Linked DNA regions of Arabidopsis thaliana. The protein of the gene in region 1 binds, or shares a complex with, the protein of each later gene. Each region holds a gene or a part of one and is shown on either strand. Other genes may lie near its edges. The genes, in order: AT1G67930 and EYE.

Evidence for each region.
Region 2: AT1G67930 (region 1) and EYE share a complex: the UniProt entries of both Arabidopsis thaliana proteins name them as parts of the conserved oligomeric Golgi complex.

The regions. Positions count from the first base shown.
Region 1 is NC_003070.9:25,467,144-25,483,227, forward strand, and holds AT1G67930 (Golgi transport complex protein-like protein), read right to left. Parts: upstream 10,403-16,084; 5' UTR 10,190-10,402; coding exon 9,086-10,189; intron 8,795-9,085; coding exon 8,321-8,794; intron 7,996-8,320; coding exon 7,075-7,995; 3' UTR 6,997-7,074; downstream 1-6,996. Other genes in the region: AT1G67900 (Phototropic-responsive NPH3 family protein), read left to right, coding at 594-652, 740-809, 896-2,140, 2,224-2,745; AT1G67910 (uncharacterized protein), read right to left, coding at 4,391-4,666; AT1G67920 (uncharacterized protein), read left to right, coding at 6,588-6,791; ABCI17 (non-intrinsic ABC protein 3), read left to right, coding at 10,662-11,010, 11,082-11,524; AT1G67950 (RNA-binding (RRM/RBD/RNP motifs) family protein), read right to left, coding at 11,741-12,232, 12,303-12,386, 12,464-12,539, 12,628-12,731, 12,846-12,929; POD1 (POLLEN DEFECTIVE IN GUIDANCE-like protein), read right to left, coding at 13,665-13,874, 13,975-14,043, 14,153-14,275, 14,365-14,462, 14,658-14,825, 14,910-15,060, 15,248-15,321, 15,555-15,643 and 1 more. UniProt on the Arabidopsis thaliana protein: Required for normal Golgi function.
Region 2 is NC_003076.8:20,881,535-20,898,534, forward strand, and holds EYE (conserved oligomeric Golgi complex component-related / COG complex component-like protein), read right to left. Parts: upstream 9,474-17,000; 5' UTR 9,262-9,473; coding exon 8,977-9,261; intron 8,870-8,976; coding exon 8,780-8,869; intron 8,691-8,779; coding exon 8,571-8,690; intron 8,492-8,570; coding exon 8,390-8,491; intron 8,295-8,389; coding exon 8,014-8,294; intron 7,877-8,013; coding exon 7,731-7,876; intron 7,325-7,730; coding exon 7,126-7,324; intron 6,981-7,125; coding exon 6,308-6,980; intron 6,212-6,307; coding exon 5,876-6,211; intron 5,789-5,875; coding exon 5,510-5,788; 3' UTR 5,211-5,509; downstream 1-5,210. Other genes in the region: AT5G51410 (LUC7 N terminus domain-containing protein), read right to left, coding at 287-592, 690-899, 1,082-1,282, 1,366-1,441, 1,617-1,656, 1,739-1,867, 2,001-2,043; AT5G51420 (long-chain-alcohol O-fatty-acyltransferase family protein / wax synthase family protein), read right to left, coding at 3,885-5,192; AT5G51440 (HSP20-like chaperones superfamily protein), read left to right, coding at 9,708-9,912, 10,052-10,479; RIN3 (RPM1 interacting protein 3), read left to right, coding at 11,630-11,866, 12,260-12,337, 12,634-12,720, 12,821-12,942, 13,454-13,550, 13,657-13,762, 13,890-14,047, 14,156-14,293 and 4 more; RGF5 (root meristem growth factor), read left to right, coding at 16,835-16,951. UniProt on the Arabidopsis thaliana protein: Required for normal Golgi function. Necessary for embryo development and pigmentation, especially for the expansion of cells and organs, and for the formation of the organized shoot apical meristem (SAM).

The DNA.
Region 1 (16,084 bases):
TGTTTTTCTAATCCAAGTGAGTTTTTTTTCTTCTTCATTTTCTGGTTTTTGCATGGGAATTGAACAACATACTTTGTTATATTTTGTTTTCTTTTGTGACTGATGGAACTTTGGGTGGGTTGTGATGTGTAATGTATGCTGATGATAGTATTATCTAAAATTTCAATCTTCTTTATCTTTTTTTCTTTTGTTGCATTGATTTTGATTCTTTTTGTTTGTATGTCCATATCAGATTGGGTATAAGGAATTTGATTGAATGGACATGAACTTTTCTTCTGGTGGCCTCTGTTTTTCTGGGTTTCTTTCTTTTTTTTTTTTCCCATATATCTATATATCTAACTAAATCACTCACCAGTCACCACAATGACAAATCCTCTATAGAAAAGAAAAAAAAAAATCTGATTTTTTTCTCCTAAGAAAAAAAAAAAACTCTCAGACAACATTTTGATTTGTTTTTGTCTCAACTTGGAAACAGGAGATATTGTCCGGAACTGTTCTTCAGTGTTTGGTGTCTTAGAAGAAAGAAACACTTTTGGAGCATTATGCATAGGAGTTTCTGAAGATTTCAAGCTAATTACTATCATTAATCAGCTATGAAGTTTATGAAACTTGGATCTCGTCCTGACACTTTCTACACTTCTGAAGATTTAAGGTAAAATAGTAATTTCTTAAAAGTAGTAAAATCTTTGGCCATAAATGTTGAGTTAAAAAAAGGCTAAAAATTGTTTGCTTGTTGCAGATGTGTGTCCTCTGAAGTTTCCAGTGATTTTACTATTGAAGTGTCAGGAAGCAGATATCTTCTTCACAAGGTACTAAACCCTTTCTTGTACTTGGAAATGATTTTTTTTTCTTCAGTTTTAGAGTTTATTTGAATGGTCATCTTCTTGTTCTGTAGTTTCCACTGCTCTCAAAATGCTTGAGGCTTCAAAGAATGTGCTCTGAATCTCCAGAATCCATCATCCAACTTCCAGAGTTTCCAGGAGGAGTGGAGGCCTTTGAGCTCTGTGCCAAATTCTGCTACGGAATAACGATAACTATCAGCGCGTATAACATCGTAGCAGCGAGATGTGCAGCAGAGTATCTTCAGATGTCAGAGGAGGTTGAGAAAGGTAACTTGGTGTACAAGCTTGAAGTTTTCTTCAATTCTTGCATCCTTAATGGATGGAGAGACTCCATAGTCACACTTCAGACCACGAAAGCGTTTCCTTTGTGGTCTGAAGATCTCGCTATCACTAGTAGGTGCATTGAGGCCATAGCCTCTAAGGTTTTATCTCATCCATCCAAAGTGTCTCTCTCACATAGTCATTCTAGGAGGGTTAGGGATGATGACATGTCTTCTAACAGAGCTGCTGCTTCGAGTAGAGGATGGTGGGCTGAAGATATCGCGGAGTTGGGGATAGATCTTTATTGGAGGACTATGATTGCTATTAAATCCGGTGGCAAAGTACCCGCTAGTCTTATCGGTGATGCTCTTAGAGTTTACGCCTCTAAATGGCTTCCTACTTTACAAAGAAACCGGAAAGTAGTCAAAAAGAAAGAGGATTCTGACTCAGATTCGGATACCGATACTTCATCGAAGCATAGATTGTTGTTGGAGTCCATTATAAGCTTGCTTCCAGCTGAGAAAGGCGCGGTTTCTTGCAGTTTCTTGCTTAAACTCTTGAAAGCAGCCAATATCTTAAACGCATCAACGTCTTCTAAGATGGAATTAGCAAGAAGGGTAGCTCTTCAACTAGAAGAAGCAACGGTTAGCGACTTGTTAATACCTCCAATGTCATACAAATCCGAATTGTTATACGATGTGGACATTGTCGCGACTATCTTGGAACAGTTTATGGTCCAAGGACAGACTAGTCCACCAACAAGTCCTTTAAGAGGTAAAAAGGGAATGATGGATAGAAGAAGAAGATCTCGTTCGGCGGAGAATATTGATCTTGAGTTTCAAGAAAGTAGAAGATCATCCTCTGCTTCTCATAGCTCAAAGCTTAAGGTAGCTAAGCTTGTGGATGGATATCTTCAACAGATTGCTAGAGATGTGAATTTACCGCTCTCAAAGTTTGTTACTTTAGCTGAAAGTGTCCCTGAATTTTCAAGACTTGATCATGATGATCTCTATAGAGCCATTGACATATATCTCAAGGTTCAATTCTCATCCTTGTTTAGACTAAATGAATATTAATCTTTGCGACTTATCTAATTTATGTTTTGACATTGTTGTTGTAGGCTCATAAGAATTTGAATAAATCAGAAAGGAAGAGAGTTTGTAGAGTATTGGACTGCAAGAAACTATCAATGGAAGCATGTATGCACGCAGCGCAAAACGAGATGCTTCCGCTTAGAGTAGTGGTCCAAGTCCTCTTTTACGAGCAAGCACGAGCCGCTGCAGCTACGAACAACGGTGAAAAGAACACGACTGAACTTCCTAGCAACATCAAAGCACTCCTAGCAGCACACAACATCGACCCTTCTAATCCAAATGCAGCCGCTTTCAGCACGACAACAAGTATCGCTGCACCAGAAGATCGATGGAGCGTCTCGGGTCTCAAATCACCTAAATCAAAGCTATCAGGTACACTGAGAAGCAAGCTAGCTGAAGATGAAGAGGTAGACGAAAGGTTCATGAATGGGGACGGAGGAAGAACTCCGTCTCGGTTTAAGGCTTTTTGTGCAATCCCTGGCCGTCCTAAGAAGATGTTTAGCAAGCTCTTGTCCATCAACAGAAACTCAAGCGACAAAAACTGTTAAAACAAAATTGTTATTTAGGTATCGTAGAGTAAAAGAAAGAAAAATGTTTAAACCTATTTACTCTCTGTATAACTTCATCTAAAAATCTCTAAGATGATAATAATATTGTTTAGAATCATATTTAGATTCATGAGACACGTGTTTGAGATCCAGAAGGTCAAAGAAAATGACCCTGAGGATTTGTTTTGTTAGAAGAACTTTGATTATTCTTTAAATTTGTAAAGAGTAAAGTCAAATCTTCTTCTCTGTCTCTGTTGGCTGCTACTGGTTTTGATTAGTATATATCCCAATTTATTCCTTGTTATGATTGGTCGTATTCATATATCGATTTAATAAATACCCAAATCAAGATCATGCTCATTAAATCACTAGGAAAGAGTTTTACGTATCTATATATTTTATCTTTTTATTTATTTTGCATTTAATTTGTAGACATGATATCTTAACAAACTTGGATTTGATGCATAATTAAGTTTACATATCATGATTCCTTTCTATAATAATGTCACCTATCACGTGGTCTCTTTCTCACTAAACAAGTTTTCAAGTTTTTCTACTAACTTCCAATTATGTTTAACAACAATTCCTAACATCAAATCATTCTTGTATAAGTCTTACCTACTCTGTCCCTATTTCACCTTGTTGAAACTTGACTTTTCTTAAAAAAAAGTTTACAAGTTTCTAGTTTTCCAACAAATCGTAAAATAGAGGTAATATTACTGTCGTTGCTATGTCACCGTATATATACCATCTAGATTCAAACTAGTATAATCCATGTTGTTGACAAAAAAATATATAGTTATCTTTGGTAAAAACTTAGATTAAGTGTTGGATTCAAAAGTTTTGAATATGAGAAAATATTAGTCTATTTTGGCATATTAGAGATAATCAGCCAAAATTTACAATTCGACTTCATTATAATTATATGGTGTTTTCACATTCCATAAAAAAAGGTGAAAAAAATAGCACCGCTCAAATTAAAGAGACACATGGGCGCTTCGTGAGAAAACTACCAACGAGAATTATCTATATATACATTGCCTCTTCCACATTTTATAACACATCCATCATTGTTTCTCTCTCAATCAATAGACTATTTCTTTATCACTTTTTGAAAAACAAATTACAAGCATTCTAAAGTTGTTTGCGCTTTGTAGTCTTTTGAATGGAGTCATGACTCATGAGTACTTTGATTGATTTGCCAATCTAGCACCAAGCCATGTCTATTTTGTAATTGTCTCTCATTAATTTGATAATCATCTGCCCTTTGAGATGACTTAAGAGACCAAGATATACATAGTCAATAACCTTTTAATATATAGTTTGGGACCATGTTGACTAAAGATTTTGATCTAATTAATTAGAGCTCTAAAATATAATTTTGACAACGATCTCTAAGATATTTCCAAAGGGCATCTTTCATATTAATCGTATATATAGTTACAAGTAAGATTCCACTTCACTCTACTCATTAATGTACTTCTAATATGTTATCGGATCATGTTTTCATATGAACAATTGTAATGCCATTGATTAACGCGTAAATTCATGCGTATTGTTGGAAAATAAAAGCCTACTCCTCCATATAATGATCAAATTACAAGTTACAACAAACATTGGTAATGTCATGGATTCATGCATGAATCTATGTAGCGGTACTAGGGGAATCCGCTGGCTTTGGTGGAGAATCCAATAGAGATGCAGCCTCGATACTCTTGGTACGTTGCAACGAAAGAGAACGGTGAATCCTACACCGGAAAGAACCAGGGTGAGTGGTTGGTGAGCAAAGGCAGTTGGTCTTGGTCATGCTTGTCTGACGAGATAGCCCACGGGAACCCACTTCCACCGCAGAATTGAAATGGCTATGAATTTCAACCTTCATGATTCCTTTGTTGTTTGTCATTTGTTGCACCTTCTCCATTTCCTGGTTTTCATTTACAAGCCATGACCATTATAATGAGTTGAAGGATTAGAAAGCATTTACGAAGGTCTTCACCAAAATAAATTTTTCCTTAATGAGGTGAATTAACTACCATGAACTGAAAAAGAACTACTAGCTATGCAAGTACTTAAAAAAAACATGCCATACATATTAGTTTTATGTTAGTTATTGCACTAAGATTTCCTCTTTACTTAGAATATAGATGTCTCCACACACAAAAAATAAAAAAAATTTCATTTTCATTTTTTAAAATTTTATCTTTCTTATAGTACTTTGCTTTTACGTTTTCGTAGAAATAAAAGTGAGATCTATTTGTGAAAGACGGAGAAAACTCAATGAGTTTTGCAAAATTAATATGATGAATTTCATATTTTACTATAAATGATGAAATAGAAAAGTTATTAGATAAGGAACGTAAATAACTAATGTACGTATCAATGGTAATCAAGAGTCATGGACATACCTCTGTATGGATGATCAAAGTTGAAGCTGAAGAGATCCAAAAGAGGTTGATACACTTTTCTAAATCCCTCTTCTTGCAAATTTATATTATCCTCTACCCTATTTTTTTTGGGGATCATCACGGATGCACTACATCAAAAGCCAACTGTATCCATTATTTTCCCATAATGTTTCTTATCCCAAAAGCCCATCATTGAGTGGTCCCCTTCCATTATTGTCTTTACTCTTTAGCGGTGTTTCTAAACCGGTGGTAGTGGTAGGACGGGGTCGGATCATGAATCGTATGGATCCCTAGATTGAATTCTTATAAGATTTAAGAGTTCTTAGAACAATCATAGAATTTGCAATACGTAAACCATGTGACCTAAACGAATTAGCTAATTCCGTACAGAAACTCTTTGAACCTATAATTACGTAGGAAAAAAGGACACATAATAACTAAAACGCATAGAGACTCTGTATAACTAATTTACTAAGGTACTGGAGTCTAGTTGGATAGAAGAATATCATAAATTTTTGCAAAACTTAGATGTTGATGTGGCAAATTAAGCATCATAATTAAAGTTGTTCGGTAAAAGAATCTCATGTATGTAAGGTACCGACCATATATATATGACCCATTAAGGTCATGTAAACTATAGCTCTAAGCTATCTTATAGTGAAAGAGTTTATGATCGATCTATAGACTTTTGGTCGTAATTGACACCCCTATTTATAAGATACAATGATGTGCTAGATTTAGTAATTTTCATATTTTAATGGTAATAGAATTGTGATTATATAAAAGTCGTCGTAGCTGTTTGATATAAGTCAGACATATTGAATTGGAACTTAGCACCTCCTATAGGGCCATTGGGCCAAAAACTGGGACAAGAACCGAGAAAACCAAAAAGACATAACGTGTAAGCTTTAAGGCCGAAACAAAGAACACACGAGTGTCAAATGTGTTTGAATAACGATTAACGACTGATTAAAGGAAATGTTTCAAAAGGATATCCACTAGAATCTTCTAGTTGACTAGCGACTTAAGTCCATCCACATGGCAGCCTTTTGGTCTCTCAACGGTCAAAAACCGACGATTTCTCCAATTTCCAGTAAAAATCTTATTAAACAAAAGGTCAAATCGAAAGATAAACGTAAGCGACTCGTCACAAATGTTTCAACGTTACCGACACGTAACCAAAACTCACCGAACACCGTCCTCCACGTTTGTTTATAAAATGAGAGATAGATAAATATAGAGAGAGTCGTCTCTTTGTATAATATATGATCTGAAAAAGAAAAAAAAACTCTTTAGCTGTTTATATTTAGAGTTGAGACTAATTCGGCGTTGCGCACCAACCTAACTTCGGTTCTACTTCACACACAAAACTCGTGTCGTCTCTTGTTATAAAGGGTCTCTTTGTTTCAGTGTCTTTGGTCTCGTGTTTGTGTAGAGATGGAGAACAAGACCGATAATGGAAACGAGGATGGTCCAATAATACATAGCCAAGTTGAGAAGATAAAGAAAGAGTTTGAGAAGATAAGACAACCGTCGCTGCAGCAACCGGAGATGAGGAGGGTTCTTAGCGAGATCAAAAGGCGTCAACGTTCACGTTCTCCTCTTGGTTTAGGGGAGAGATCTATTTCCGTTGGGAATTGATCCATGTTTGACTTTATAGTCGAGAGAGATAGATAAAAAAAAAGAGGTAGAGGTGGTTATGTGGTTCCTAATAGTTAACAGGTTTTGTTGTATATATTATGCTATATAAATACTCTTTCGTTTGAAAATGAATACGTCTCCTCTCTTTGCATAGTATGATGATGTATGAATCTCGATTTACATGATATGTATGTGAGAGATATAGTAACTACAACTGAATGAAAAATCCATGAGACAAAAAAGTTCGCAATAGAAGAATATTGATTCGGTAACAAAGCACAGCTTATAAGTTTTCTTGTGTTAAAGATGAACCAATTTGAAGCATTAGAGGATAAACTGGACTAAACTCTTTGTCCCCTCTCGATCTGATCTTCACTGCATAATCATCCAAAGTTGCTTTTATCCCTTTCCAGATCTGATCCTCTCTTTGGTTATCAAGCCACAGTGAGTACTGTTTAGGACTTAGTCTGTTCTTCTGCATCGGTGACTCTAACTCGTCTGGGCCTCTTGTGTAGAGATGATGTAGGACGATGCTCGGTGGTAGATCATTGATGAGAGGAGATGATCCCATTTGAGATGTTTCCAGGAAAACCAAAGGCCTAAACGCTCTAAGAGCTCTGTACGGTGCTCCGAGTTGTTCCACGGGAAATAGATTCTGTCCCACTGCTAGTTCCAGCTCGGCCATGTCTTTGGCCATTCTGAGTTTTCCCCATTCTGAAAGTGGTCGCACAAGGGATGCATGTCTGATGTAGAAGATCAAAACCCTTGACGCCATTTGTCTTGTGAGTCTTGTGCAGATCGATTCTGTTCCTGCAGTGTTAGCATTTGCTGCGGAAGGCAATAGTCTAGATAGGAACTCCTTGCGGAAGTGAAGAATCGATCTCTGCAACTCCTCCATGTATGAGGAAGCGTTGTTGTCCATGTCAGCGTCATCAGCACCAAAGTTTTGATCATGGATTTGAAGAATGCATGACTCGAGCTTGTCTCGCATTGCTTTAAACAAAGGTGTAACTGGCTCACATGCCGCATCATAGATTGCAGCCAGATAAGGAGACAATACATCAGTAGCAATACTGGGAAGGTCCGCTACCATGGATGAGATATGTGTGTGGATTCCTTGCAGATGCTGACATAATGTGAAGTTCCTGATCTGTGTTGAAGTCGCAGGACCTGATATCTGCCGCGTCTCAGGGCCTGTAGAAATCTGCAATATAAGTGTAGCTGTGTTACATTTCAAACATAAACGCATAAGTAGCAGAATAACTTCTTTACACTGTTAACTCTAATTATGTCAGGTAGTTAACACGTATATATTTGCATAGTAGAGGTAGATGTAGCTCTAATTCTCTTCATTTCTGTCTGGAAGAAATTATAATTGCCCCACGAATTATTACTTTGTACTCAATCTCTCCTATACAACTGTATGCAACTTTAAGAATTTCTATATAATACAAGCACAAATTGATACCATACTAAGGGAGCTATCGCACATAACAAGAGGACAATAACCAACAAGAGGTCTATCATACCTGGCACTCAGCTCGTTGAGCTAGGTTACTAAGGGCCTTGCCTATCTCACGCAAAACTAGAAGAGTCAAACGAGCATCTGGATGAACAGCCTCAATCTCATCTTGAATGTGTGATAATACCTGTGAAATCTGTTCTTTCGAAGGTAAACTCCCACGGCTCGACATAGGGAATATCGAGTTTACAAGGTCTGACAAGCGGCCAAAGCATAGGGATAAGAAAGCAGTCTGGAATATAGCAATGCATGCAACCATTTGTTCTTTCCTTTCTAAATTAATGGCAGGTAACACTCCTTTAACATCTGTATCACGAGAAATCCTTTCAAGAAGATTTTCTATCATAGACACAAGCTTCGGATATCCCATGGTGAATATTTCTTTTACAAAACTCGAAGCTGTGTATGCAGACTTCATTTGGCTAGTAAAAGCCTTCACAAGTGCATCCCAGACTCTATCGGTTAACATAGAATCGCCTTCCTGTGCATATAAACACTTCATGTAAGCAATAAAACCAATTAAAAAGTTGGAATCTAAACTAATCAACAGCCCTGACACCACAGAAACCCATCCCAAAACTTCCTTTTGATGCAAAAACATTGAAGGATCATCTACTTAAATTGTTCAAACATCATCGAGCTCGCTAAAAGTGACAAGAAACTCTGATCCTCTCAATGATCTAATGCAGCTTATTCCTCAGGACATTGACAATATCTTTAACTAACGAATAAACAAACTCAGGGAGCCTAAAATTCCAGTTAAATTCCGCACCTTGATGACTTCGTCAAGAAGAAGGACATGAGTAAATGGATCCCTCTTCTTAGACAGTACACGCTGCAAATGCCACACAGCAACTACAAGTGAACACAACTGTTCCATACAACTAGCCATCCTCTGCCACAACGCCTCCCTAACTTTAGCACCACCACCAATATGCGGTGATCCGCTAGACCTAATCCCACCAGGCCCGAAGCCACCACCTGAGCCAGAAGTAATAGCTTTCATATCCATAGCAACACTCACACTCTTCACAGCCATTCCCTTATACTTATTCACCAATTGATCCACCGTAGACTTAAGCTCTCCAAGGTTATAGAAAACTTGCAAACCAGTCCCAACTTCAGCTTGATTCAACCCTTCCATGCCTCTCTCCAACACCTTCATAGCTTCAGATCTCAATTTCTCTCCAATCTCAGTAACAAACTTGATTTCCTCATCAATCACATCAATGCCAAAGAGATCATACTCTTTACACATTGTTAAGATCTCGAAATGGAACTGTGCAGCTTTAGTGAGATCGATCTTATCTGGATCAGGAAAATCCGCTAGATCTCGAAGCTTCTTAGAGAGACGAAGCGTACGAACGGAGTGAGATAGTAACTCAGTAGCTGTATGGAGATTAGATAGCTGAACAGATTTAGATCGGATCGATTTGATCGGTTCAGAGAGGTCGGATCTGACACGGCGAATTGAAGATTGGAGTGAAGAGACGGAGGATCGGAGAGAAGAGAGAGATACATCGGCGTGTGAGAGAGAAGAGAGCTGAGCGAGCAATTCAGGGTGACGAGAGATGACGTCATTACGGAGCTGTGAATCGAGGAGGCGGATTGCTTGGTGGAGACGTTCGGCGGTGGAGGCCGGAGATCCAGAAGCGAGAGCGGCGGAGGAGAATGATGCGGAGGAGAAGGAAGATGAGAGGAATGGGGAGAGGATTGGATCGGTGGCAAAAGAATCGAGCGGCGAAGAAGAGGAAGATGACGGTGTTTGTGGTGGTGGTGCGCCGGAGGAGAGTGAAGAAGGAGGAGGGTTTTTGAAGGTGGAGAGACGTTGAAGAGATGGAGATGATGGTGAAGGAGACGATGGAGGTAGTGCCATTTTTTTACAGTTTCAATCTCTACAGGTTTTGAATTTTGCAATGGCGATTTTAGCAGGAGATCAAAGCGATACTCATTTTTCAAAGTTAATCTCTGAAACACCAAAAAAAAAAAAAAAAAACTCAAAGCGAAGTTATACGATAGTGAACCGGTCTACTTTAATTTCTGTGTCTGAATTTTGTTGGTTATCTACGAACCGGAATTATCATTTCTGGCATAGTCAAGTGATAGATGTAGTCATGTAGGGAATTTGTATCTGGATGTGAAAAAAAAAAAAAACAATTCCTCCTCTAAATCTCGTGATGTCATAAATTATGTAAATGTCAGAGATTGGTCCTAAAAGTTGGCCACTAAGTGGTGTAAGAATAATAAATTGTCAATATCAATTGACTGATTCTTATTGTTCATATACGGACACAAATCTTTTCGTTAAGTGAGTGTTTTGATCAAAAAAAGTTGAAAACTTTAAAGCCATGCCATCACTTTGGTCTAACGAATCCGATGGATCATTACGAGAGCATCTTGTGGATGTTGTTGTGTCTGGTTCAGAACCAAAGATTCGGGTACATGATCTGACCCGAGTCGCCGATGATGGATCTCGGATCTTGAAAGGAGTTACGATAGATATACCAAAAGGTATGATCGTTGGTGTGATTGGACCTAGTGGAAGTGGAAAGTCAACGTTTTTGAGATCTCTGAATCGTCTTTGGGAACCACCGGAGTCAACTGTGTTCTTGGACGGTGAAGATATAACCAACGTTGATGTTATTGCTCTTCGTCGTAGAGTTGGAATGCTTTTTCAGCTTCCTGTTCTTTTTCAAGGTAATAATCAAATTTTGGGATTTGCTTAGCCTCTAGTTTCATAGGTCTTGATAATGTGTGGTTGGTTACAGGGACTGTTGCGGATAATGTGAGATATGGTCCGAATTTGAGAGGGGAGAAACTAAGTGACGAAGAGGTTTATAAGCTGCTAAGTCTTGCAGACCTTGATGCTTCCTTTGCTAAGAAGACTGGTGCAGAGTTATCTGTGGGTCAAGCTCAACGAGTAGCACTTGCAAGGACTCTAGCCAACGAGCCTGAGGTGTTGCTGCTCGATGAACCAACAAGTGCTCTTGATCCGATATCGACAGAGAACATTGAGGATGTTATAGTGAAACTGAAGAAGCAGAGAGGGATTACTACTGTGATTGTTTCTCACAGTATCAAGCAGATTCAGAAAGTTGCTGATATCGTTTGCCTTGTTGTCGACGGAGAGATTGTTGAAGTTCTTAAACCAAGTGAGCTTTCGCACGCTACGCATCCAATGGCACAGAGGTTTCTTCAACTCAGTTCTTGAGACCATTTTCTCATTGATGGTTCCTGCAAGTTATTTGCTATTTTGCTTGAATCTTAATAATCTCTTTCAAGAGAGGAACAAATGCTGGTTGAATGTAACAACACCTTTCATGGTTTATGTCTTTTTATCTTCTCTTTAGCATACGAAAGCATATATATGAACAACAAACCTATCAAAGAATTTAGTCGAGATCCGATTGGTTTGATGAGATCTGCATCAACCGAGCTTAACAGGAACTACAGCAGGAACTTTGGGTGAAGAGGGATCAAGTGTGATGATCTCCTTTCTTCCTTCTCCTCCATTCTCAACTTTCTCTTTAACCGCCTTTGTCACTGCGCCAAACGCGTTTGAAAACCACGAAGCTCCACTTGATACATAAGGGTTTGCCATTAAAGCCGTTCTTGCACTGATTGCTGTCTCTTCAGCAGCTGCTAAAGCAGATTTCGTTATCTCCCTCACCTGATATCGCTCATCGATATCTCTCAACTTCTCATTAACCACAGTTGTTCCTATGCTTAGCTTTTCGCTCAGACCCATCTTATCGTCAAGCGATGCAATGGTTGCAGAAGCGTTTGAGATCAAGTTGTGTCTGTCATCAAATGCTTTGGCTTTCTCCATGGCGTCTTTTCCAAGAGCATAACCTCTTCCCACCATGATGTTCACCACATCTTCAGCTTTCTTGACAGAAAAACCATTAAACGAATGTTCCTGCTACACAGAGGAAACAACATGAACACCGAGAGAGTAACGAATAAATCAAAGAGTTTCCGGTCTTTACCGAGTCAAGTGCAAGGGCTTCTGGTGGTAGCTGATAGTTAACAGCAGGAGTTATACTAACACGAAGATCTGCAATGACAGCTCCCTGGAAGGAAATGTTTTTCGCTGTAAGCACTAATTCATGAAATATACGGAATGATGCATACGCGGAAAGCAAAATACCGTTAAGAGCATTGCAGTTTCAGCTCCTTGTGAATCCTTAAAAGTAACATATGCGACCTGACTCTCTTGTGTCTCACTGAGATCATTAGAGTAAACATTAGAGATATTGGTAAAGATCATCTTTAACAAGAAGATGATAATTTACAACAAGTTATTTTTCATACCTTCGCATCTCGACGTATTGAATGTCACCAGAGAAAGAAAAGAACTCTTTGACATCTTTCTTAGAAACAATTAGTGAAACATTGCTAATCTTGACAGTTTTCACCTGCACAACAATGAATCAATACAAAGCCTTTGAACAGACAGCTTTACAACAACAATACAAAGATAATCCCATAACACAGCGAAGATGAAAGTTTGAGAAATGTTGGTTGCTTACACCGGAGACAGTTGATTGGGAATCCATAAGAATGTTGTGCTGAGTTTGATCCGAATCAATGAAAGCAGCCTGTGGAGAGATCATCAATACTCAAATTTATTTTGAATTAATTCATCCAAAGCCAGAAACTTTCAATTGAGATTGATACTATGATTGAAATTAGCATCTGTGGAACAGAATCTGGATTCAAAAAAAAAAAACTCGAGAAACAAAAAAAGTTCTGTTTTTTTTTTAATAACACCGACACAGTAAAGAGAGATCTCAGACTTCATCACAGAACAAGAGAACAGTGGTTTTATCCACAAAATCGTAGCATGTAACTCCTTTCTGATTAGATCTAAAAATAGCAAAAAATATCTAAAAGCAAAGCCGAATCTAAGAACACACCAGCAAAAATGGCCGAGAATCGAGAATGCTTACCGTTACCGACATTGTCGAAGTGATTCTCTCAAGAGCGAAAAATCTCGAGTACGCGTAAAGAATAGGGATTTCAATATTTCAAGTCCTTTTGAGTCTCAAAACTGACAAGGTACGTTTTTAATTTTAAAGTGATTTACATTTCAACCTCACGAGTCAAGAGAATATGGGTCATGTGAACGAAATTGTGAAGTTCCTATTATTGTATTGTCCTATGAACAAAACAAAAAGAAGAAGAGAACAAAAAGAGTAATAGCTATTCTTTGTCTTGTGATGGCTTTTTGCCAAATGATCCATGAGGTCTCTTTCTTTGTACATATGTATATATGCCTAACCACAACAAAAATCGCTTCATCGAATATTTAAACACGTATAATAAGATCACAAAAGATGATCTTCAGCCTAATCATTGTGGAGATGGGAGGAGTTTCTTCTTCGGCATCGATTAATATACCAAGTTGCATGTTTTCTCAGTCCCATGCCGATGAGAACTTTGAGGCTTGTGAGCATTATATATGTTATGACGAATAAGATGACCATCCACAACATTCTCCATGGGAGTGGACTGTATGGCAAGTGTGCTGCGTATACTGGTGTCAGTACTCGGATCACCTGAGGTCCCAAAATATACACTCAAAATCATTCCAAGCTTCTTCTTTTTTTACTTATCACAATTGAGTTTTTAGGTCAAAAGGGAAGAGGAGGAATATACCACACAAGCAGGTGCAAGGGGAACAAAGGTGAGATTTGTCTTTCTATCTTCCGGACGAATGTTCAAAGTCTGACAATACCAGAGAAAGATATATGGATGTAAGATGACGCAGCAATGGCATTTTATAGGGCCAATGTAACAGCACAAGAGAGAGAGAGAAAGGCTGTATGATCCATACCTGCTCGCAGAGGGCTTGAAGAAACTCAGAGTACGCTATAGGTTTGATGTCATTGAACTTGGCAAGAAATGAATGCTTGATGATGTCTATCATCATCTCACAGAAGAAGACCGTAGTAGCATTCTGCAGAGTCCAAGTATATTTACTTTTAGGCAACCTGGAAAGAGGCTTGTACAAAATTTTATATCTACCAGAGAATTATGTACACTTACGTAGATGAAATTTCCAAACCATGCACCTTCAGACTCGAGAATATTTTGAGCCAAAACTGACACCAAGAAGGCCGATATGTGGAATCTCTCTATTGAATCTGGTAGAGAAATAGTAAGGGAAACAAAACATACCAATCAAAAACCAAAGCTAACAGCTGGAATTACAGTCTAACTCAGATCCCATTTTGACAGGTGATTGAAAATGTTTGAAGTACTAAGCTAATGATCAGAGCCATAGGAGGCCTAGTATTCAAGGCACAAGATTCTACAAAGGGCACGGAGTAAAAGCTTACCCGCATATACTAGACCATGAATGTTGTCCTTGCTGAAACGCTTAAAGACACTGCTCTTGATCTCAGCAAAGTTATTTGACACCAGAAGGGCCAACAAGGCATTGTTGTGAGCAACAATACAAGTTGACAACGTAATTGCCTGAGCTAATAAAATGAATGAATGGAGAAGTGAAGACAGTTAAGGACACAACAGAATAAAGATGTTGGAAGTAGTTATCAGAAATCAAACTAGCAATCACGCTGTAAGGATATTTGAGGCAGCCATAGTTAATGCTAGGTCAGAAACAAATCTCCAAGTCGAAAATCTCAGTTTCTCAGGAGGAGAAATCGACAGTCCCTTTGCAGAACTGAATAGGGCTCCAAATACATCTCCACAAAAACTTTGACAGAGTCTATCAAATATCTGGAATATAATATTTATATATGTGTCAATACCAGTTGAATAGAGAATAAGGTAAACTGGACAGAAAAGTGTGCAGCGAAAAGACAAATACAAACCAACTAAACCATGTAAGAAATACAAGGGAAAAAGCGAAATGAACATGAAAATTCATAGCAGAAATAAATTATCTAAAAAGGGTTTACTTTACCTCTAAGATATTATAAACCACATAGAGTTTTATGGTACTTTGACCACGAATCATGTGGTAAATTAGGCTGATATCTGTGGAAACAAACAAAAACACACAAGGGAACTGTTTGAGAATCCATTTTCCCATCACTTTGATGAGCTGAAAAGACAAATCCATTTTTTTAACAGAAGTGCTAAGCTTGTCCATATAATAATAAACAGATTAAGTAATGCCCTATGCAACCCATGTACCACTGCAGAGATTTTGATAGAGTAGACATGACATATATTACTAGCTTAAGCAAATGAGGAGCTTTTTACCACACCTGTTCTCCCGAGAAGAATGGTACCAGTGGCCAAAACTAGAAAACAAGCCAGATCAGACAGCTCCGATGCAGAGGGCCTCCTGAACTGCCTGCCACAAATATTATTAAGATACTTTCTAACAAAGGGAATAGCAGGATCATGTGTATAGCGAATAGTATGATCAAGGCATGTTACACTTGCTTCAAAGATGCACAATTTGGTGTGAAAGTCCAGTTTATAGCAATATATTAAGTGTGTTATTATCAACGAAGAATCTAAAAAAGACTCACCTGTTCTTAAATGCATCCATAAATATCAGCAGGACTCTTATTGGCATGACTGTCAACAATGACAGAAATGAGTTGACGCAGACAAAAAAGCCAGTATCTATAAGCTGCATTAAAATTCTTTACAATGTGAAAAACCTCTGTGTAAATCACAAAACAGAAGCATACATATATATACATTGAACTCTCATTTAGGTAGCCCTTCACAATCACATAACAGGTAGATTTCCATCGCCATCCATACAAACTTATCAGCAGAGGTA
Region 2 (17,000 bases), on another chromosome or scaffold:
TTGACCTCTTAACAAATAACCGATGAAGGAGAATCGGTAAGGTCTCAAACTCTTAGAATAGCTGTGATCCGGTAGAAAGACAAATTTTATCCATAAATTTTAACAAGGAAGTTCCAAAAGACAACACATGCTTATGAAACCAAAGGGGGTATCACATTGTCTACCTCATTAATTTGCAAAGTTCCTGGCCCCAAGACATAGTGACAACACCTTATCTCAAACTAGTACTGGCAAATGGTGCTTCTCAACACCCTTTCGTGACCAGACCTTCCACGAGGGTCTCAAACTAGTATTGGCGAATGGGGCTTCTCGACACCCTTCTGTGACCAGACCTTCCATGAGGAGATCGTGACCTGCTTCGATCTCGGTCCTCTCTCCCACTCCTCGATCTCCTGTCATAAGGCTTTCTATAATCTCTACCACGGTCTCTGTGTCTGTCACCATCTCTGTTTCGGTCTCGATCACGATATCTTTCTCTATCACTAGAACCACTCCTCTTACTCTCGCTTTCCTTCTCCCTTGGTTTCCTCTTATCATCTGCTTCTTTTCCTCTTACTAGTCTTTCTTCTTCCTTTCCTTTATCTTTAGCAGCCTAGAATAGAAAAAGTAAACAAAGCATCACTATCCCCATTTTATAAGGAATGACAGCTCAAATGAAACAAGATTCAAGTATTAGTTCTGAGACTTACTTTTTGTTCAGCAATAAAATCCCGAACCAAGCCATAGCCAACATGTTGCTTTCCAGTGACATGAGACTGTGTTCTTTCTACTGCATCATTAGCCACAAGAAATGAACCACAAACCTCACACAATGCCATCTTCTTCTCCTGAGCCATCGCGAGTACCTTGTCAGTTGGTCGTTGTAACAACACTGTCTTCTCAGCATTTAGCCCTTCCACCTACCAGAGTTTCCAAATGATAAGCACTCAATGTACTAAATTTATGATCATAATAAAGGTGACACATAAGGTATAACTGCAAATACGGAGGAATCAAGCAGAACACCATATTTCAAGTTTCAGTATGATTTGTTAAGACTTCAAAAGTCTTCTTTTTTTAGAGAATGGTAAACAAATAGTACCTTCCTCATTAGCGCTTCAGCTTCATCCACTTTGCCTTCTTCACCAAGTGCTTCCACTTGTTCCAAAAGGTTCTTAACTTTCTCCTCCAAGACAGACAATTGTTCAGCTTTCTCTGCTGATAGAGAAGGTGGTGGAACCGGTTCAACTTCTTGTGCAAGACGTTCTCGCCCACGCCTAACTTTCCTATCAAGATCATTCACCTGTAACCAATTCCAAATCTTAGCATAGAGAAGAATCAAACTCTAAAGAAAAGAAAAAAAAAAGTATGACAAGCATTACACACCAACTTCTCGCAAAACTGTGCAAGCTCAGCCTCGAATTTAGGCACATAGGAATCATGCCTCGGAGAGTTCTCGAAGCTGAAACAGAAATAATCAAAACTCATTCACATAAATGCGTAAAATGACATTCTAAGGTAAGCTTAGTCTTAACCTCTACAGATAAACATGCAAGATAGCCACATCTCACACGAATCGATTCAGATTTGTAACAAATCAAATAAATATAATGAAGAAGATCTCAATAAAGCGTAACCTTTCTTTCAACTTTGGATCATGAATTCTCGAGCATGCTCCTGAAAACAACAATGAAGCTTAAGATAAGCTAAAGAAAAGCATCATACAAAAAAGCAAGTAGATACAAATAGTGAGACTAACCAAGATCGCTTTTCGTGTTAACAAAGAGGTCATGAGGACAAAATCGAACCATATAGAATGCACATACTTCTCTATCGTCCCACTTAACCTCCTTGAACCCTCTTCTCTCTTCGTCTGTCAGATTACGAGCTGCAAACAAAATCGAGAGCAATTTCAACAAAAATTCGCTCAATTCTTAACATGGATACAGAAATTAAAGCTTTGGAGAGCTCAATTTCGAGGATTAAATTGAAAATAGATTTTGGTACTCGATTATTCTCACCTGCGCCCATTAGTTCGTCCAACAGAGCTCGCTGAGCATCCATGGCGGGCTAAGAAGAAATTGAAACTTAATCCAGAGAGAGATAAAGGAAATTGCAGAATCAAATTGAAGAAATTTTGAAGAGGATGACGAACAAAAGTGGAGAAGTGATGATTAGGGTTTCGTTCGCCACGACGAATAAAAGGCGTTCGTCTATGGTAAAACTCTATGATTGCAAAATAAAAAATAAAAAACTCTATTCCCTATATAAATAATGAATAATCATATCAAGAAAAAGTTGAACTAAAAAATAATATCACGAAAAAACAAAACACTTAACGAAATTAAATTTTTAATAAATTCATAGACATAAGGCAATCACAAATTTAAGTTTTATTATTTTAGAAAACAAAAATATTGATTTATATTATAGGGGAAAGAAAAATATTGATCGCTAAATACATTTATTTCAGATATTAGAACAGATACTAGCGAATAAAAATCAGAAACGGGCAATCCGAATAGTAAAAAACACAACCTGAATTATTTTTGATACCTATTGATTTGAATGGTGGCTGCGTTTTGCGGTGCAGGAGAAGTGCGGTGCGGTTCAAATAGTAACGAAAATATATAGATACATATGTATATGTAAAGATTTTGATACTGTTACAGCACTGTTGCGGTACGGTTTTGGGTGCGGTCTATGTCACCATTAATGGCCATAACGAAATGAAAATTTCATGTTACGAGATGGAATTCAGATTGGGTTAAATTCATGTAGCCATAAAAAAATTGTATGAAAATGTAGCCAAATTTACTTTTCAAGTATTCATTAATTAAGCTAAGAGTTGACTTTGGCAAAATAAATAAATATTCACTAATTTGACTGAAGATAGGTTACAAAATGAATTCATAAAACATTTGTAGTTAAATTCACTTTTCAAACTATCACTAATTTGGATAAAGGTTGATTTTGAAACGCGTAAAAGTTAACTAGTTTGGCTAAGAATTGACTTCGGAATAAAAGTTCACGAAATTCAACCCGTCTTAAAATGGACATGCCTACTAATCATCACCCGTCCTAAACTTTGTGACTATGGGAACGTTTTGTTTTGAATATTATAGTGACTTCAAAACGTTTCCATAATCGTATAGACTTTACTAGCTAGAAAAATCAATGTACTAAAGACTTGTCAAACAAACCCTTAATTAAATGTACTAAAGACGTACGGAGAATGCTCTGTTCCAATGACTTAGTATTTGTGTGAAAACAAGAACAAGATACATTACTCGTTTTAACTCTTATTTCACATATGTATACGTGATCACCTTGCATTCCCTAAAACAAAGAGCCATTGGAACGTCTCTAAACCTTTAGCAAGGACCAATGAGTATTTTGATGTGTTCTTTACATAGTTGCATACACCAAAAGAGAACATGCATTCCAAATAAAAATGATATTAGCAAAAAAAAAAAAAACATGTTTAAGCTTTGTGACACATAAATCATACAGTAGCAGCAAGAACCTTGACGCGATAACATAGTGAATCCTTGTTCTTCATCATGCGCGAGTTGTTTAACGAAGCCTTGTTCATCTCTGGTTTTTTAACACATCCCTAGATTGTAAGAAGGGCTTATTATCTTTGCTTTTCATATTGTAGAAGGTGAGATGCTTACCTTTACCGTTGAATTCAGCTGAATTCAAAGGCCATTTAGAGCCTTCGTTTTGCATCTCACACAAAATAAGAAATCTTTTTACCATTCAAGGGTAAACTAGTAAACTTATATAAATAAATAAATCACATTGAAATTGTAAAGCCACAATTGTTTTGAAACAGAGAGAGATGATATGATAATCGAGCTACAGAAACACTTAAATCCCTTATATCATGATTTAGCAATTTATCACCAGCCAAAAGTAAACAACTTGAGCTTGACGAAACCAATGAAGAACATGGCTTCGTTAAACAACTTGCGTATGACGAAACCAATGAAGAACATGGCTTCGTTAAACAACTTGCGCATGATGAAGAACAAGGAGGATTCGTTAAACAACTTGAGCTTGACGAAACCAATGAAAAACAAGGCTCCGTTAAACAACTTGCGCATGACGAAACCAGTGAAGAACAAGGCTTCGTTAAAAAACTTACGCATGAAGAACAAGGATTCGTTAAACAAGTTGCGCACGAAACCAATGAAGAGCAAGGCTTCGTTAGCGAATCTCTGAATCTTGCCGGTCCTGACAAGAGGAGGGAAAAACAACCAACCAGCAGTCACAACGACAAACCCCATAACCATCACTTGTAATATCAAACACGGGCAAAATTCAAACCCTATCCACCGCGCAATCTTCTTCTTTAACCTGGCGTCGTACGCCACAATGCAAACCCCATGTAACACGAAGAACAGAGTAACCTCTCCAGTAGGCCGCTCACGAGTTATATAGAAGAAGAGAAACTCGTGAAGTGCACCGGAGACAAGGAATGTGACAAAAACTCCCAAGTACAGAGCATTCTCGGAGTTCATTTTCCCTTCAGTGATTCGCCGCATCCTAGCGTAGACGTCTGGCAGGAGGATCGTCGGGAGCATGAGTGTCCACCAGTGACCCCAGAAGTCTCGAAGAGAATAGGCCAAGTATGGTTCATTCAGCTGTGGCTCGAGTTCGCAATCAAGAGCTATAGAGAAGAAAGCGTTGAAGAGCTTTAAGAGAATCTCAAGTACCAAGTATAGATGGAGTGGATAGAGAACAAATAGCACAATGGGATATATATGTTGTATGTGATTATACATATGTAACACTACACTCAAGATTACAACTTTAGTCACGAATTGGTTACTAAACAAAACTTCAATGGGGTATTCCCATTGGAAGAAATAGTCTCGGCGCTTAGGGTTTTGTTGAAGCTTGATGGGGAAGCAAGCGAAGCAGATGAATCGGGTGAGATTTGAGGGAAGTGGAAAAAGTGGGCCTTGATTGAAGGAGAAGAGTATGAGTTTGAAATTGGCGAGCCATGAGATGAAAAGCGCTGTGTAACCAGAGAGGTGAACAGAGGCGAAAAACAGAGGAAGAACACGAAACAGAGCACAAATTGGAAGAACAGAGAGAAATCTAAAGATACCAGGTTTGATTCTGGTTGGTACGTAGTAACAGTAAGATATGGAGATTATTACAGAAACCGAAACCTTGATCAAGTTCTTGAGTTCTTCCTCCATCTATCCGATCTTTTTTTTTTTTTGTCTTTCTTGACTTTGTTATGACAGCTACACATTGTTAGAAGATTCGGACCAAGGAACCAGTTTTGCCTCTTCCTCTCACGCAATGTTAGTGGAAGCCATTTCATCTATGATTTGGTCTTAACTAAAACGGCTTGTCACGAGTACATTTTATTTAAGTAACAAACTATTTTCTAAACAATAAAAAACACGAAAAAACTACGTAACTAAAACATTAGACAATGCTGTAATACAATATGACAATGGACGAGCCGATTTGTTAGCAAAGTCTTATCGAAACCCAAGTAGATTTGAGACTAATCGAAACTGATACGACGCATCTTACAAACAAGATTAGCTGTAGGGCAGTCGAGTTCATTACCAGCTTCTGATTTCATCACATCTTTGAGCTCACCTCTCGGTGTAGCCAAACACGTCTGAAAAGTTGCAAGAACTGGCGGAATTGGCATGGACAGAGCCGAAAGCACATTGCTCAAGTACTCAATATCTACAGAGAGTTGTTGTGCTCCTCGGTCTGAAATGTATTGGATTCCTCTCAATTGGTCCATGTACAGAGCGGTTGCTCCTTCTGCTACCTGTTGTTTTATTAAAAAAAAAACACTTAGTGGTTAAGGTCTTAGCTTATTGCGATTCGGTTTGACAAAAGCTTAAATTAGACTTACCTTGAACATCCATTCGGTTGCAAAGAATTGTGCATCCTCGTTGTTTGAATCGCCGTTGGTTGAGATGCCTTCAGCTAGAGGCTCAAGCTGCTGCGGCAAAGTAAGGAGATATTCTCCAACACTTGTAACATAAGACTGCGGGTATGAGCTGAAATTTGGTAGAGGAAAAGCAGTTTGTTCCTCGACGGAAGACCAGATTGGTAGGCGAGATACTTCCCCTAGACGTTGCCTGACTTTTGATATAAGGACGTCATAGACAAGTTCATTGACTGTGTCGGCAAATGCAGCAACTCTCTGAGACGCCAAAGGCAGTGCGTGGAATCGTGGATCTTTGGACTGCAAAAAATCAAAGGGAAAAGGGAATCGATACGCATGAAATATCAAATAGTTAATTCAGAAACTTTGTAAATCAAGCCTACAGGTTTTCACTACCTGCTCCAATAGGTTTAATAGTTTGTGAGCCTTCTCCGGAACATCAACCAACCGAATAGCTGCCACATCCATGGAAGCTCGTCCAGCCATAGACAAATCTCCAGCAGTTTGTTCACTTTTCAAATGTGATAGGTTGTGATCCAAATTTGTGCCAAATAATGAAATAGACAAGCTGGAGTTTAGTCTAGCTAGAGTTGCTCTCAAAGAGGCTTCAAAGACAGAAGACCTGCTCGTGAGACAATCAGCTACAGTAAGAATTTGAAGTGCTCCTTGAACAATGGACCATTCCTCATTTGAAGTCAAATCCATCTTGCGAGAGCTCTCCCTTTTCTCTGCACTTGCATCTTTCTTTGAGCCAACTCCATCACCTGTACCATCCACTCCACACACAACTCTCAAAGATTTGAGTGTTTCTTGAAGCATAGAGATATACTGCAACATTATGTCATCTAATGCAAGTATCAGCTCGTCTGCCTCTGACCCTCCAGTAAAGCCAATACACCTTTCAACTGCAGCTTCAAGAAGAACAACAACTTGGGGAATAGACTCTTCCATCCTACGCACTGTTTCACTGAGTTCAATTCCTTGAGCCCCAACACCACGAGTAACAGCCCCTCTCAGATCCACCACTGCAATCTCAGAGGATAAAATAGCACGTTCCATCTTCCCATACCTAAAGCATGATCAAACCTTATGTCACAAACAGCCTTGAAGAACCACGACCCAAAAAAGTTTCATCAAAAAAATGGGACAATCCATAAATACTAGAAATGGATACAAGACATGGGGGAAGAGAAGTACACAACATGAAAACTTACTTTTGCTTAAACGATTCAAAGGGTGAGTACACGGCCTTCAGCGTATCTATTAAGATCCTAAGTTCAGATTCCGCAAACAGGTGCTGAATATTTCTTGCAAAGGAACCAGTTACGTTGTGCAGTTCAATCAGAGCCTCAAGATGCTTGGTCTGAATATTAATACCCTTGGGCAAGTCTCCAGATAATAGATCCATCACACCTGTTCAAGGAAAACATCAGAATTGTCAGTATTCTCCTAAATACACAAAATACAGATATAAGTCAATTGAAGATAATCGTGCATTGTCTGGAAAATTTCCAGTGACTAAATGAAAAATGTAACAAATAAGTTGTTGTTCAAACTTCCTGCAAGTCTCTCTTGCATATTGACAGATTCATGACATCGGCCACTATGCACAAAAATTACAAACTTAACAAGAACAGCCAAAAACTTTAGCTCATGTAAAGGCAGAAAAAAGTGATACTCTTCTTACATCTATCTACCCAAACATGAGGATGGTAGAGTAGAACCACTAAAGAAGCAACGCAATCCCAATTCAGCTGGGTAAAAAGACTAGACTAAGAAGGAAACCTAATAATCAAACTGTACTGACATCATATCTAACCTTTGGCGAGTGCTTTTGTTTCAGGAACAGCATCTCCAGTTGCAAGGTTAAGACGAGAAACAAAACTAGCCCCCAGTACTCCCATGGTCTCAACCAACAGCTTTGGGACGAGAGTCATGTAGTCATCAGGGAAGGCAACCATACACCTAAACAATCATGAAAGCAAAAACGTACAACAGTGATTGATACTTAAAGCTGCAATCACCTAAAGATCTGACATACTGTCACTGGAAGGGCCCGGAAAATATATACAGTTTACTGTAAATAAAAGTAAAACATTTACCATTTCCACTCTTGCTCAAGATAGAGTAGCAACTCGTCGTAAAAGCTTGTCAGCCAACTGGCAAATGATGTCTGAGATGATGTCGACTGAAACTCATCGCCGCTAGACAACCTTTGACTTTCACTTCTCTCATTGGCAAGCTTGTTTGCCCTTTGCTTTGTGTCAAAATCTTCCCAGAGTTGTTTAATCGGCTTTAGACGGACTTTTGAATATTGCAACTCCAGAGACTTGAATCTCCCAATCCGGATGAGAATTACTCGCAAATCTTGGGCGACATCAACCTGCCAAATTTGGGGAAAGGCTTTTCAGTCCAATAATGGCAACAGAGACATTACAACCTAAAGTAGTTGGGTTCTCTAGATATACAGGTTCCAACCTTGTGATATGTTAATGCATCAGTAAGACGTGGCTGCACCATCGCCTCCAGCCTATCTTCCAATACCTCTAGTTGCTTTCTCACATTAGCAAATTCTGCAACCTGTTGACAAAAATTGGACTTTAAGTGGTGACGGAAAAAGACTTAAATCCTCAGAGTACTGAAGCTGACATAAAACTACCTCTCCAACAGCAGACAGGCAATTTCGCATGCTAGCAAGAGTTTCTGCAGCACGAGGAAGATCGCCACTAGCAAATACATCCTCAACCGTCGAGCTTAACTGAGTTAACCCTGCAGCATCCTGTACATATACCAAAAAGAAGAGAATCAATTGCAGATCTACCCCCAAGTGTCCACATAATGGATCACAAAATCACTATGAATACTAACCTGTAGTGTTTTGTAGGCAGCCTCCATTCTCTGTTTGACATTGTCCACTCTAGCAAGCGCAGCTATACAATCTGCTGAAGAACCCTCTGCCTGCAGAGTACCGAATTCGATAAGAGCACAAGTTTCAGGAATTTGATATAATCTAATTTTCGAGAAGAGATCCAAACAAAATCTCAGGAATCAGCACAAATGCGTACCTTCTTGAGCTTCTGGAGGATTCCAGCAACAGAACCACGCAGAGACACAGCATCATCACGGAGACGCAACACGTCTCGTGTGGCACGAGGAACACGGAGGAGAGCACCACCGCTCTGCTCTTCAAGAGAAGCTCCGATCTCCTCGGAGGCAATCTGAAGCTTCATTTCCAGATCCACAAGATGTTTCTCGAGTGAATCCTGTGGGTGACGCGCCTGGCACGACGAGTTAACCCATCGCTTCGCATCGAACTTCTCATCTGAGAATGGACCTAGATCCAGCATCATCCTTGATCCGATCACCCGATTTACCTTAGATTCTCTTCAGCTTCGACGATGATGATGTTGAAGAGAAGAAGATCCTCTGATTTCGCAGATACACTGAAGAAGAAACTAAACCAAATCGATCTAAACCGACTTTCAAATTCGACTTTAAAACCAAACCAAAGTAAACGGAAGATAAATTTACAAATCTGGGCCCCAAAGTGATGGGCCGTCACGGAAAAAGTTTTCTTCTTTCTTTTTCTTTATTTTTCTTTATTTTACTTGGAGACCACGCAGTTCTAGAACCATCCTTAAGCGACTCTCTAGCCTCTAGCAGCTTCTTCTACTCTCTGTTCTATATAAACCTTTCTCTAACAGCTTTTTTTTCGTTCAAAGAGTATAAAAAATATCTCATCGAGCTTGAAAATAATTAATCACTTGCTAATTCTAAGCTTCTTCTCTTTCCAAAAATGGCGTCATCATCGGCTTTAGCTCTCAGGAGACTTCTCTCTTCTTCCACCGTCGCCGTCCCTCGCGCCTTAAGAGCCGTTCGTCCGGTGGCTGCTTCATCTCGCCTCTTCAATACCAACGCCGCCAGAAACTATGAAGACGGTGTCGATAGGAACCATCACTCAAACCGACATGTTTCTCGCCACGGCGGCGATTTCTTCTCACGTAAATCCATGGTTCCTCCGTCCAATTTCGCTATAGATTTTCCCAATTTGATACATGTTTAGTGATTTATGTATAGAGTACATCTAACTTTGTTTTGGAGATCTGTTGAATCTGAAAATTTGGTTGTTTTTTCAAACAGATATACTCGATCCGTTTACTCCAACGAGAAGCTTGAGCCAGATGCTGAATTTCATGGACCAGGTAAGCGAAATCCCTTTGGTATCAGCTACTCGTGGAATGGGAGCTTCTGGAGTTAGACGTGGTTGGAACGTGAAAGAGAAAGACGACGCGTTGCATCTAAGGATAGATATGCCGGGACTAAGCAGAGAGGATGTGAAATTGGCTTTGGAACAGAACACATTGGTGATTAGAGGAGAAGGGGAAACAGAGGAGGGAGAAGATGTTTCTGGAGATGGACGGAGGTTTACGAGTAGGATTGAGTTACCGGAGAAAGTATACAAGACTGATGAGATTAAGGCGGAAATGAAGAATGGTGTGTTGAAAGTGGTGATTCCAAAGATTAAAGAGGATGAGCGTAACAATATTCGTCACATAAACGTTGACTAGAGTGTTTTATTTTGGATTGTTTGAGATGGAATGGAAGTAAGTGAGTGAATTTGTGAACTTTAAGGTGTCCTTTGGTGAATCAAGGAGAATGACATTTCCCACGGTCCTATGTGTTCGGGATTTTGACTTTTTTCGTTACATCAATGATCTATGTACGTTTGACTACTTTCATATCATAGGTTCGGATTTTGTTTCCCAAATTCTTGATATCGGATTCTGGATATGAATATCGTAGCAACTATGATATAGTTGAAGTTATTTGGATATTATTTATGGAGAAAAAGAGTCTGCTAGGACGATTTTCTATCATTATACCTATGGACTATGGTGGTGTTATCAAACATGCTGGACAGAGCCATGATCAACGATACATTCGATGCTCATTCTCGATGTTCAAACTCGGTTTTATAAGGGGATGATACATCAAATTGATACCAAGTAACTGATTTTGAATGTGCTGGAAATGTTGATATAGGTCTCAGCAACCAGAAGAAGGTTGTGGGACAAGACTATTAGAGAATTTTGCTACCGTTTTTTTTTCACCTCTGTTTGGCAAAGCGCGCTCTTTATAGCTTTACTTCTTTGGAACCACTTCGGTGACCATAGAACTCGTTCGTGTCGGCATCGTCAAATTTAAGTAACTTTTTATTTACCGCATGGTTTATTATTTTGAGTTTTTTTCTTCCGCATTTTATATTCTTCATTTTTCCTTGTCCATCGAGAAAGAGAGACAAAAAGAGGACGCAATTGCCGGTGCTGAGGAGAATTTTCCAATCGCGAACTCAGGTTTTGATCCATTTCGCTCTCTGCAGAATCCACCATTATCTTCATATTTTCTTCTATTGACCTCAATCTTTCAGCTCATCTCTCTCCTTTGGTTAATTGAATTTCCCAGTTTCTTCAATTTTACTTATTTAATACATATCTCTCTCAATTGCAGTATCCTATGAACTTCGTGATCATGGTTTTGAATTTTACTTGCTTCGATTGGCCTACGTTATAAAAAAATTGAAACTTTTTAACTCAATTCTCTAACTTACATAAGCTTTTGGTTTGCTTAGCTTATGCAAAATCATGTTGATGCAGGGGACGTCATGCTAAATGAGAATCTGTGGGTTAATTCGGAGTGAGAAGGCTATAATAGTTTCTAATGGGGATAACATATTTGCACATTTCCGTGGCAACAACAGCTTTGAGCTTTGTGGGTTTACAAGTCTGGACGGAGTTGTCTCTTGATAGACTTAGAGCTGATGGGATAATCACCAAGAACATTTCTTTAGGGAATTCTGAGAATACCCTTGAGCTTCTTCTGAGTTCTCACACTACAATTGCATTGCTGGCAAGTTTTGTTCTCAATATCTACATTCTTCTTGTTCTTTCTCTCAAGGTAAGAGTGGTCTTTTACTTCCGAGGTTAAGTTTAAGCAATATTCGTCGGCTAGCTTTATTCTTACGTAGAATAGATATACATCTTTTGAATGGTTCTTTCCTTTAGATGGAATTCAATGTAAAGCTCGTAGTTTGGCTATTAGAAAATACATGAATTATAAGTTTGCACCTGCGGGTTAAGAGTTGTGGTGTAAGAACCAAGTATTTCTGACCTGAAGGATTTAAAAACTCTTGGTTTTCGATAGTTATAAGGCTTCCGTGAAACCAAATACCATGCTATTTGTTGCCTTAAGGGTCTGCACATACTTGTAGGGTAATAATAGACTAGCTGTTTTGGGAAATGTCTTTCAATCATTGTGTGAGGATCTGATAACTCTTAATATTCCCTGCAGACTCTGTTTTTTGGAGATCTATATGCCATTGAAACTAGAAAACTGGTGGAAAGGCTTGCCAATTACATCATTTACAAGGTAGTTTTTTGTACTTTGATGAAAGACAGTAGGGTGCAACGGAAACCAACCCACAATTTCTGTCACTTATATAGTTTTATGATATCTGGGATATTCTATTATCTCCTTTACTGAATATATTGCAAAAAAGGATGAAGACGAAATCCTACTTAAAATGACAAGCATTAATGGTACATGAGCATATATTTCTACCACATTATTCGATTGGATATCTGATCTGTTTGCATAAAATTAAGTTATTTGCAGATGTGTGCCATTTTCATGTTAATAACCTTCTTGGTTACTCCTGTTTTTAGGGCACTTTTCTGCCATTCGTGGTTCCACGAACAGTATTTCAGGGGGTCCTATGGACAATCTGGTTGACTGTTCTGTGTACTCTAAAGGTATGGTATACAGGTTGCATAATTGGCTTTCTTGATTTATGATCAGGAAGTGCTGATTTTTTTTTCTAGACACCCTAATGTGTAGTAAAATGTTGTGTAGATGTTTCAAGCTTTGGCTAGAGATCGGCTTGATCGATTGAATGCATCTCCTTCTTCGACTCCTTGGACATACTTTCGTGTGTATTCAGCACTGTTCATGGTTCTCTCTACTGATTTGTGCTGGTATTTCCTTAACTCTTTGGTATCATGTGAAATTTTGAGTTGCGGCTTTTTCAACCCCTTTTTTTTTTTTAATATGAGTGCACTATTTTCCTTCTTCTATTTCAAAATATGAGTGTAAAGTTTTCCTCCTAGTTTCTGTCTCTGGAACCAGATATATATTCTTAAAATAAAATAAAGTATAGTTGTATATCAGAGGAGACAAAACAAATTAACCCTAAGTCTCTGAATGGTGCACATGACTTTCATGATGCATATAGTTCTAGTGAAAGCAGTGTAATTTTCTGCTAAGATAAAACAGAGGCTTTAGTATGTTCTGAGGGTGCATATGCTGTAGTGAGCGGAGAAAATATTGTGTTCTAGAGTTCCCGTATTTATTATACTGCAGTTCAATGAGGAGAAAATAGGGAGTTTTTAATTCATACACCAGACCCTCTGGATTATCATATTCTGTTCTAGTGATTGAAGAATGAACTTGTTCGTCTCTGGATGTTAATTTTGTCGAATCTTGCAGGATAAAGCTTTCCCTTATGATATACAATACAGTTGGTTCGTCTGTCTATTTACTGTTACTTTTTGAGCCATGCGGTATAGCTTTTGAGACCTTGCAGGTACTTGAGTAAGATAGTTGTATTCATTGTTTATGTTACCCTTCTTTGTAACCGTACCTAGAAATATAGAGGGTTGATCAATCGCATAATGGATCATTTTTTTCAGGCGTTGTTGATTCACGGGTTTCAACTGCTTGATATGTGGATCAACCACTTAGCAGTCAAGAATTCAGATTGCCAGAGATCAAAGTTTTATGATTCCATGACAGCAGGTTTTGTCTTTTTCTCGGCATATGATTGTAATTATGTTTTCTGTTAGACTGCAGGCGTGCATTATTTGAAATTTTTTGTCCTGTTTGGTGTTCACATTACTAACTTGACCTCTTACCCATTGAATAGGCTCGTTATTGGAATGGAAAGGCCTCCTCAACCGAAATCTTGGTTTCTTCCTAGACATGGCTACCTTGGTAATGGCCCTCGGTCATTATTTGCACATCTGGTGGCTCCATGGAATGGCCTTCCATCTGGTGGATGCAGTTTTGTTTCTCAACATACGTGTAAGTCTGTTAATTGACTTTCTTTGTAAAAGTGCCACTCTACTGGTTTCTTAATAGGCACATACCTAATTGTTAAGTTCTTTGTGTGTTCCCGTTTGATTTTGACAGGCCTTGCTAAGTTCAATTTTGAAACGAATAAAAGGATACATCAAACTGAGAGTAGCTTTAGGTGCTCTTCATGCAGCTCTTCTTGATGCAACTTCAGAAGAGCTACGGGATTATGATGACGAATGTGCTATATGTCGGGTAAGTTTCTGCTTGATAGTTATTGGTCTCCTTACTTTTTTTAGTAGCTCACTAATCTTGGAACCATTATGAATGATAGGAACCAATGGCTAAGGCTAAAAGACTTCACTGCAACCACCTTTTTCATCTTGGCTGCCTACGATCATGGTATGCTAGCTCTGTTATGTTGGCAGCCTTGTGCTATTGCGGTTCTGTGAGAACTGTAAATCATAATGATATTTTGACTCTGGCAGGTTGGATCAAGGTTTAAATGAGGTTTACTCTTGTCCTACTTGCCGTAAGCCTCTTTTTGTTGGTAGAACTGAAAGTGAGGCGAATCCTAGCAGAGGAGAAGTCTCAAGCGATGAACACTTAGCCCGTCAATTTGAGAGACAAAACAATTCTGTGCATGCACTAACCACTGGAATGTTTCCAACTGAGACGCCAAATTTCACCGAAAGTGATCCTTGGAGGTTGGGTTCATTGTTCCATATGTTTTCTTCTTAAGTGCATTAAAGTAACAGTGTGTTCATAACAAGATCATCAACTTCCTGTGGTTTCCTATCCCTGAGCTAAAATACTATGCATTCTCTAATTTTGTCTAATTATACTTGGTTCTTTTGGGTAGCAAGTAATTGTTGGTTTTGTGAGGACCAAGCTTGTGCCCCCATTGATTTTCTTTTTAAAGACTGGCTTTCTTAAACGGGATTAGCAGTTCTCACCTTTTTCTCATGCCATATAGGAATTCAGAGGTGGATCCAAGCTGGCTGCAAACATGGTCAGATCAGGGTGTTGATGTTGTGGGTTCCTCTGCAGGCTCCAGATCCGTTGGGCTGGGGCAGGTTCAATTGATGATGAGGCATCTTGCATCTGTAGGGGAAGGTTCTGCTCAGACTACACTTGACGATGCTTCTTGGGGTCTCTGGCCAATGAATCCTTCGCAAGCATCGACTTCATCTACATATGTTCCTCCTGGTGCTGGAGGAAGAACAGGTGGTCTGCATCTAAGAACTGTCTCCCGTGCAGCAAATAACATGGCGAGTATACTAGCAATGGCCGAGACAGTAAGGGAAGTCCTCCCACATGTGCCTGATGAAATAATTTTTCAGGTAAATATTAGATGCATTTATTGGTATGTGTCTGCTTTGACAAGCAAGCTACTTGCTGGGTTGAATTGCTAGGATATTTAGTTAGTTTCCTGCATCAAATGAAAGGAAAACATTTGTATATATGAATTTGTGAAGCAAAATTTTCATTAAGAAATTAATGGGCTCAATTTTTCTGAGTTTAATGGCCATTTGTTGTCATTTGTTTGCACACGCTGGGTATTGAAGTGATGATTGATTCAATCTTCTTTCAGGACCTGCAAAGAACAAATTCTGTTTCTGTTACAGTGAACAATCTTCTCCAGATGTGAAAATTGGTTTGCCTAAAAGTAATTAGCAGTTCCATTCGATAAGATAGACGCATCAGGAAACATCCTTGTCTTTTAAGTTTGACTCACCACCACACATTTAGAAGCGTTGTCTGCTGTAAATAGGAGGCATTCTTGCAACAGACTTTGCAAGAGTAAGAGGCTCTAGAGTAGATTTTGTTCATTGCTCTTGTGGGATAAATAAAGCTCATTTAGTTGCATTGTTCAGTCTGATGTTGGAGGCTTTATTCTCTGGAGCTGGTAACCAGTCTATGGGAATGCACGTCTGAGGACTGATGCTACCTCCATTTGTATAAGAACGTGTAATTTTACAATAAAACAAAAAGCAGAATGTATTGTTATTGATCCAATAGATCTTCTCAATTGCTGAACCGTTTCCTTAAAGCTGGGTCCTGCTGTCTACTCTATACCGGTTTCTTTAGCTTGAATTTGCAGGTTTCATGGCTTCTTGGAACAGAGGAAAGACATTCTGAGGGAACATTCTTGGTCCAGATGTTGGGTTCTTGGTTCTTGAAGCTCTTTTACTTTGAACTAACATGTGTTATTTGTTTTAGAAACACGCAGGAATTGAGCAATTCAATAGGACTTTTTGAAGACAAGATGTCTCGGAGATTGTGTCAAAGCTCAAAAAGTAGTGTTAACAGTCATCGTCAACCTCCAAACCATCCTCGAGGCAGACAAAACCATTAAGGTAATTAAAACAATTGCCTTCAAAAAGTGCTTTAAGTTTTTCATATAATAATGCAATCCGAAACTAGCTTGCATTATCTTAATAGAATATTTACCGTGGTAGTCGGTAAGTTTTGGGGATTGGTCTCAAATGAGATGTGTAAGAGACAAGAAGTAGTAAATCACTCGTTTTTCACCGAGGTTTATATGTCCTTTTCCTTTTGTTGTTTCTTTCTCTCTTTTTGACTCATGTTTGGCTTTTCCCATGAGCTTTTCCAGCACATTCATCTGGATTGATTAAATAAAAAACTTGTTTATTCTGTGATTTAATTCTTACATTCAAATACTTATGCGTGAACTTGCTCTTATTATATAGTCTCCTACTACCTATTAAGTCTTTTAACGGTTCATAATCCTCTTAGTCGTTGAGCCTTGTATGACTGCTTCTGTTGTGACCAATGAGCTCAATCCATGTTGCTTCAATGATCCTTCTCTTGTTTCTCTTCTTGCATCATTCTGATTCTCGTCACCTCGACAATGTCCACATTACAGCGTCTCGGTTTTCACTCGTCAAGGTTCTTGATCCACATTTCAATTCATCAACTTTTCATTTACTTTCATGTT